Linked DNA regions of Nothobranchius furzeri. The protein of the gene in region 1 interacts with the protein of each later gene in a pairwise test. Links are inferred from orthologs where the notes say so. Each region holds a gene or a part of one and is shown in the gene's direction. Other genes may lie near its edges.

Region 1 (4,498 bases):
GCCAAAAGTGAGTTCTGTAAAACATTCAACAAGTCAGAATATAGAACCAAATATCTGACATATTAAGTCATTTTTTGTGAAAACTCAACAAGTCACAGACGCCATATTTGAGGATTTGATAATTTTGCGTACTTTATAATAAAACCATAGATAAATGAGAATGCATGCGTGTAACTTATAAAAGTGTTGTAATTCAGGAAGGAAGTTAAAGTTGTGAAACGTGTCACTGGCACTTACTTTGCTGTCAGGATGGAAATATTCAGATTGTTGGCTTCAGCACGAATCTTCTCATGTGTTCAAAATGTTGCAAAAATAAAAACGTTGTATCGTACCTGCAAAATAAAAGCGAATGGAGGAAAAAAGAAAAATGCTTATTCTAATTTCTGAATAAATTTCAAAATAAATTGGTCTGATAATACATTTCAGAACATTATTATATGACTGTTTTTATGAAAATTGTAGCTGTGTTGGTAAAATATCTTAAATAAAGAGAATGTAGAGTTTTACTTCGTATTGTTTTAAAACTATTAAAGCTTTTTTAACATTTAAAGGGGAACTAGGCTGTTTTGGTTTGCTTTTAGTACCCCCTAGTGTTTGCTTGTAGAACAGAAAGCAAACGTATCTCCTCGCTGTGCGTTTGTCTTTTGAACGCCTTAATCTAACAGCTGAAATGCTGGAACCAGACTGCAGCACCAGGTATGTCAGCTCGATTTTTTCTAAGTCCCAACAAAACGGCCACCAGTCTAAATTTGCAAGTGGAACATTCTGACCACAGGGGGCGATAGAGGCTGGGTAGCCTTTAAGGGTCATTTGAGCACATACTGGCTCAAAAAATGATGTGAAAATATAAAAAAGTATCCCTTTAAACAGGATTTTGATGTTTTCAGCCTGTTTGTGCTCTTGTTTTAAACAATATTAAATGAAACTTCACCCATGACTTGATTCAATTCCAAGCATTTCCTTTTTCCACCACAGAAAAATGTGATTTATTTTTTAAAACTTTTTTGTGACCAACCAGTTACTGGCTTGAGCACACCAGTGGGTCATTTGTCTTTTCTGGGGAGTTTCCATAATCTGCTTGTGACTGTGCTGCTTTTATTTAATAGCTCCCATAACCAGCTTGCATTCATCATTCAAGCCTGACTCAGTCAAACGTGACCAAGTGACAAACCCTCTAAACATGTGTGAAAGTTTTGTACATTATTACCATTACAAACACAAACATTTCTAAATACAATCCAGGCATTGATTAGAAAATGTGCTAAATATCAAATCTGGAATATAGTGGTTGGGGTTTTAATGTCAAATTCAGTGAATAATTCCAGAATTATTTGTCAGGTGATTATGTTTCTTAGGTTTCTATTCCCTGTGTGAGTAGGGAGGAAACAGAACTGTGGTGTTTGGCCAGCCGAACAGGGAACTAGGAGGCGTTCCACAGGGAAGAGAAAGGAAAATGGAAAGGGGAGCAGTGAGTCAGCAGAGGGGTGGCAGCATGGGATGACAGCAGGTAGCTAAAACCTTACGGTTTGCTTGTGTCTTTAAGATTTAAGCTAAAATCAACTTTACTGGTGAGTTGACCAATTTTTTGAGTGTGTGATTTAATGTGTGAATGATATTTTTTATTTTGAAGCACTTTAATTTTCAGCTGAGATACGTGTCTTCTATTTCTCTTGTTTTGATCTGTGTGGAGCTTTATTCTAAGGCTTGATGCAGAACAGTTTATGCAAATCAAATATTGCTTAAAGGATTATCATGTAGAAAATCCATATTTGTATGTATAGCATAGATAGGCCTATATATTTGCTGAAAAAAGCAAATTCAGTGGACGGTGAATAAATTAATATACAAGCAATATCAAATATCATTGGCTGGATACAAACATTAAGCAAAACATCCATAAAACAAGGCACAAAAAACTTTCAGTCAAATTTTCTTTTGAAAATAACTGGGGGGGGGGGGGGGGGGGGGTTATAAAAATAAAAAATGAAAATGACCTAAGAAACTGAAATAATGGTAATTTTCTCTAAATGTTTTGAACAAACTGTAAATTTGATCCCGATAGGAACAAACGCAAACAACACAAACTAAATTTCTGTCATGAACTCAATCAAAGAGGTGAGTGGTATTTCTCTATTCAGGCCATTCAGATGTTAAATCATCTTTCTGTTCCTCCCATCACCATCAGAAGTCTGATAGCTGCAACAAAAGCACAGTAGCTGTCAGGCTGGTAGACCACTGTTACGACCGTTGGAGGGCTCTGCTTCAGTCTGTGGCAACAGTTTGTAAACCACCATGACCAAAAGGTGCTGAAAAGAGCGTGGGATTAAACATAAGCATTAGTAACTGTTTTACTCTCTACACCGTCTGGATGCTGCGGCTAATTTCTCCAAGTATTTGCAAATAAATATGATGCTTGAGTTTGATATAGTTGATTTGAAATGCCAAAATAAGTCATTTGAATTCACAATTTCTTTCTTTGTAACCCCACATGTGTAGTGTGGGTAGAATATATATGATTATTATTGCTGTTATTATTATTATTATTATATAATAGCTCACAGTCTTTCATCTTTTACATGTTTTACACAAAGGGTTATCTTAATAAAATTCACAACAGATATAAATAAATGCAGTTTTATCATAAAAAGTTACATTCATGTTTGAGATGTTTTTCCACATCTGCAATTTTATTATTTTTCAAGTCTTGTCAGTACATGTGGGTTGTGCATCAGTGGCATGTCTAGAATTTATTTTGGGGGGTGGCACATATTTAGATAAGGGTGGCAGTTGTAAACGGCTCATAACTTTGAAACAAAACTTCATATTTTTTTACTAAATTACTAAGCGTTGATCATGATCTAATTGGCTACTATAAACTAAAATAAAGCCAAAGCACAAACATGGTGCACTTTTATCAATAATTATCTGACACTTTTCCGTTAATGAATGCATACATTTATTATAATAACATTGGGACTTTCCCTGACATTGTAAAGTCAGAATTATTTTAGAAAAGAGAGGAGGACGCACTTTGGATTAAGTAGCCCTGCAAACAAATGTCACATGGATGTGCAGATCCTTAAGTCTGTTAGTCCAGACCACGTCTGCAGGACATCCAGACTAGGTCTTTGCACAGTAGGAGATATCATTTCCAGACTAGCGTTTTAGTGCATTTTTACTTTTTGTTTATTTGTAATTATTTAAATATTTTTCACCTAACAACATAAATAGATGAGCTTTAAAACATAGCATCAATGAAAAAATGTACCTCAACAAGAAACAGAATGGTTTGTTGTTTTGTTTGAACCCAATAGTCTCGTCATCTGAATTTCTGAAATACTTTGGAGCATTAACCAAGCTCAATTTAATGCAAAACATACTAAAACAGTAAACACCATGCCATCTCACCTTTGATTTGATATTGTTTATATGTTTTAGATTTTTATTTATTATATGCACTAGATGTTTTACTGTCTCAGTTTCTGGGGTGGCACCTGGGGTGGCCAGTCTTTTATGCAAGGGGGCCTGTCTGTGCCTCTCCCCCCTCGCCTCCCCCAGGCCCCCCTCTAGACACCCACCTGTTGTGCATCTGTGTTCAGAACAAAATTACAACAAAACAGGAGTTTAATAAGCATAAAACGCTGAATAAAAGAGAAGAGTGATACTGGGACTTGTGTGTTGCAGAAAGCCCATATTCATGTCAGGAGTCCAAACAACAGTCTGTTGTAAACACTTTAAAAATCTGCTTCTCACGTGTTTGTCTTTCGTATTCCTGACTTATTCGCTGAGGTTAGTCTTTTTCAGGGTTAATGATTTATTTCTAAGGCTGTTTCATGAAACAGAGTGACGCTCCTTTGTGCTCAGTAGGTGGGATATGCTTTTCAGTACTGAGTCAGTCAGAGAGGAGCCCCCTAGCGGCCGCGGGCCCCTACTGCACCAGGTTGTGACTGAGAGAGGGAGGAAAATGGGTGAACGGAAAGTCCCTGCGTGGAAATCCCCTTGACTTGGACTTTTTTTCTCAAAAAAAAAAAAAAAAAAAAACTAGCGTTAGCGGACGTGAGTGTCTGTTGTTTCGAAAAGCTTCGCGAGCTGCGAGAGCTCCAGAATAGATCTGATACAGAAGGAAAGAGGAGGTTGAATGGCGCCGAGAAGCGCTGCGCTGAGTGAAGTGGCTGAGAGAGGACTAGCCTGAGCATCCGGGAGGCTTTGTTACTACCTCCCGACATATTACACAGGTAAGACAACCGTCCTGCCTTCTACGTCTCCGTGTGGACAACATTCCCCGCCGAAGGCGGTCAGACTGAGTAGATACACCATGTTTGGGCCTGGAGTAACGTGTGGTCGTGTTTCTGGGGACATGGAGGAGGAAGCCTGCTCACGACAGTGGCTTTGACAGCCATTGTTTACAAAGACGTCACCCTCGAGCGGATAACGAGGCGTTTAAACGGATAAATGTACCATCGGCGCCGCGACGCTGGATCAAAACCCGCGGCGTGAA
Region 2 (3,823 bases), on another chromosome or scaffold:
CTTGATCGTTTCTTTGAAACTTTGATCGCCGACCATGGACAGGAGTCTCGTGGCCAACATGCTCACAATGGCCTCGGTCAGGCCGTTAGCTTGCTGAGACGTGCACGTAACAAACTCATTGAAGAGGAGCACTTTTATTAACGCTGTAATGTAGCGGGATACAATTAATCATTAGTGTTTGCACTTAGTGTGTGTGCATTCAAGTTTCACTTTTGTTTTATCCGTGCAGGTCACGTTATTGTCTTTTTGCTTTTTATAGGCCATGTTGGACCTGTTTTTTACAGGGGGGTTAACCGTGGTTAATAGTAAAACCAGTTAATACCTGCAACCCTAGGTACAGCCTGAAGAGGAGATGTGGGTCTTCTTTCCCATGGGCTCACCGCTCGTGGGAAGGGCCATGTGAGATGGTAGATGGCCAAAGGCGCTTTGATCCTCGACTACAGAAGGTGGCAGTTGGTACATAGAATGTCACCTCTCTGGTGAGGAAAGAGCCTGAGCTGGTGTGAGAGGCTGAGAGGTTCTGACTAGATATAGTCGGACTCACCTTGATGCATGACTCTGGATCTGGAACCAGTTTCCTTGAAAGGAGCTGGACATGTTACTACTCTGGAGTTGCCCCCACTGAGAAGCGCCTAGCAGTGGTGGGCATACTTGTGGCAGCCAGTCTTGGTGCATATACGTTGGGGTGTGTCCCGGTGAATGAGAGGGTAGCCTGCCTCCACCAATGAGTGAGGGGACGGGTCTTGACGGTTGCTTGAACTTATGCACCAAACTGCAGATCACACTATCCATCTTCGCTGGAGTCCTTGGAGGGGTGCTGGAGAGCACTCCATCTGGTAACTCCCTTGTTCACCTTGGAGACTTCAACACTCACATGGGCAACAACAATGAGATCTGGAGACGTGTGGTTTGAAGGGACCCCCCCCCCCCCAAATATGAATTCAAGTGGTGTTTTGTTATTGGACTTCTGTGCTCATCATGAATTGTCCATAATGAACACCATGTTTAAGCATAAAGGTGCCCACATGTGCACTAGCGCCATGATACAAGATAGGACACAGTTTGATAACTGACTTTGTTGTAATCGGCTCTAAAAATGTCTCAAGCTACTTTTTCAATTACCAACGACTTGATATTACGGGGAAATGTATTTATTATCAACTTACTGTGTATGACTCATCTTTCCTTGTCATCCGGAAACTTCTATTGCTGAGCTGTAACTGGCAACAGATGTCAAACTTATGGAACAGGAGTGAAACAGTCACTTCGGTGTCATTAGCCATACATTAGTTGCATTGAAGCGAGTAGATGTAGATGAACTGTTAGATCACTGAAAGTTAGATACAGTCATTCTACACATTAAGGTTTAAAAATGCATTCTCACAATGTTGTCTTTTTGGTCTGAGAAGTGCCTTTTGTAAAATCTAAAGCTTATAATAACTGTGGACCAGTCACAGGATATCATTGTTAATTTTTTCATTTTTCTTTCTCACTGTCTAGGCACTGCTGAAAAATTGATGGATTTGTACCTGGACAGAACCTCATTGAGCAGAAACATGGACACGTCAAACTTTGCACATGTCATCTTCCAGAATGTGGGGAAGAGTTACCTTCCTCATGCTGCACTGGAGTGTCACTATACCCTGACAAAGTTCATCAAACCACATCCAAAGGACTGGGTTGGCATATTTAAGGTATTATGAAATGTAAACCTACCTTAGTTCTGTGACTACCATAGAAGGTAAATCTTATATTGGCTAGTTGCAACATGAAATAAGTAAATCTCTGCTCAGGATTTTCATACTGCAAAAGGAAAAGGCAAGAGGCTTGGCAAGAGGAGTGGAGCATTTTGACCCAAGCACACGTTTAAGTGTCCCACATGGATCTCGTTACAGGGGGCACATTAAACCCAATACGGTGGCAGTAATTTATTTTGGCCTCGTCTGAAGTTTAGCTAGTCTCTTCTCCACCTGCATGGTTTTATCTACCAGAGAACAGATGAAAGTGTAGATAGGCTGACGATTGTTACAAAAACACAAACTTACAGCTCTGTTCACATCTCTTCCTGCTTGATTTGGCTCCTTGTGTTTGGTCTTTGTCTAAAGATGGAACCAAAGAAATTAGAGTTTATCATTACTCATGCTAAGGCTGAAGTCCATCTTAGTTGTTGAGAAAAAGTCGTTAAAAGTCTATTTATTTTTAAGTGTCACCAGAAGGTAAGTTACACATCAGCATTGATTTGAAGTTCTAAACATTGTTCACTATTTTCTCTTGGTCAAACTACTGCAGCTTATTAAGAGCAACTATTTGATTCCATTCAATTGTGGAAGGATGCCAAATAAAAGTTGGGGTCTTGTAGTACATATTTTACACACACGCCTTTATTTCACTCCCTGTAAAGCTCTTGCACATGTTTTCTTTATTTCATTTGTTGAAATGGAAGTAAACAATTTTCATTTTGCAAATATGCTCTTTTTACACTGGTTGGTTCTAGGGCTGCAGCTATCGATTATTATAGTTGTTCATTAATGAAATAATTGGATAATCCTTTGTTTACTTGAAAATGCGGTAAAAATGTAAACAGAGCTGTACTAGTTGTGAAAAATGAGTCAACCAGTATATTTATATAACAACATTTATTTTATTCAGTTCCTTTTCATTTGCAGTCTTTAACTCAGAAGCATGTTCAGCTGAGAAGGATGGATTTTCTGGCCCAGTCTGTCAAATGATGCTGATTCCTGAAATATAGAGAAAATACATTTTGTTTTCCAGCTAACAACTAGGGTTGTTTTTCTAACAATAAAACAAACTAACTCCCAAACTGTTATACATTTACTGTTATAAATTTTTTTGCAATAAAGATAAGAATTCCAACGTTACAAATAAAATACTTGAAAAAAAAAAACGCATGCAAAACCAAAGCCGACAAGCAAGCAAGTGCTTAGTGACTTTTATCTAGAGAGGTGCTATACAAAAGATCATTCCTTCTTCAAACATTTTAGTCTAATTCTCATACTGACTTGCAATAAAACATGGAGAAAAAAAAAACACTTGTTGCCTTTTAGAGGTACCAGCTAAACATTTCTCAGTCTCAGTTAGCATACTGGCGATACTCAGTTTATCTTCATTTAAACTCTACAGCACACACCTTGTCTTAGATCCATAGCTGATGCCTGAAACTGGGATGCTTTGTGCTGGGGACGTACTGCTGTTGGCCGGGATGGCCGGCCCTGTGTGGGGATCTGGGCGGGGCCTTGGGGGTCGGGTCCTGACATGTATGCTGCCGGGAAGAAGGCAGGAACATGCAACAGTGCCTGGCCCGGGTTCGGGGGCCTCAGGTAGACCTTGGCTCCTCTGCCGTTCCATCACAGGGGAGGGGGAGGACCCAACTTTACCTGGATTTCCCATGTCATATATTCTGGAAGTTGTGCAAATGTGGGAATGGGCATAGATATTCTGCTGGGGCAAGTGGGCAAGTCAGGGAGTGCGGGTATGGACCCCATTTCCGCATTCCTGTGGCAACCTGCCCCCCAATTTTATTTGCACCTTATACACTTCCACCGACGACATTCCACACAAACACACACTTAGGGCCTTGGGAGTGAGCACATTCAACGGCATTTGGCAGGGGGATATCTCAGCCTCCTCCCGGGTGCCGGTGCCCTCTTCCAATTTTAAACCGCACTTAGACACCGAGGGCTGAGGGTGTAAGTGGGGTGGTGCGGTGGCATCAGCTGGCATAGGCCGGATGATGCCCGCACTGCCCACTCACCACAGCCATGGAATACACCTCATGATCACACAACACTATAATGGAGCCACC

Evidence for each region.
Region 2: the proteins of tnfaip3 (region 1) and tax1bp1b interact in binary tests that used the Homo sapiens proteins (3 or more experiments, as listed by UniProt). The link is inferred for Nothobranchius furzeri from reciprocal best matches to the Homo sapiens genes TNFAIP3 and TAX1BP1.

Annotation. Positions count from the first base shown.
Region 1 is NC_091752.1:25,134,705-25,139,202, reverse strand, and holds the start of tnfaip3 (tumor necrosis factor alpha-induced protein 3), read left to right. Parts: upstream 1-1,490; 5' UTR 1,491-1,568; intron 1,569-4,094; exon of another isoform or gene 4,095-4,235; intron 4,236-4,498. UniProt on the Homo sapiens protein: Ubiquitin-editing enzyme that contains both ubiquitin ligase and deubiquitinase activities.
Region 2 is NC_091757.1:59,022,139-59,025,961, reverse strand, and holds part of tax1bp1b (tax1-binding protein 1 homolog B), read left to right. Parts: intron 1-1,500; 5' UTR 1,501-1,517; coding exon 1,518-1,694; intron 1,695-3,823.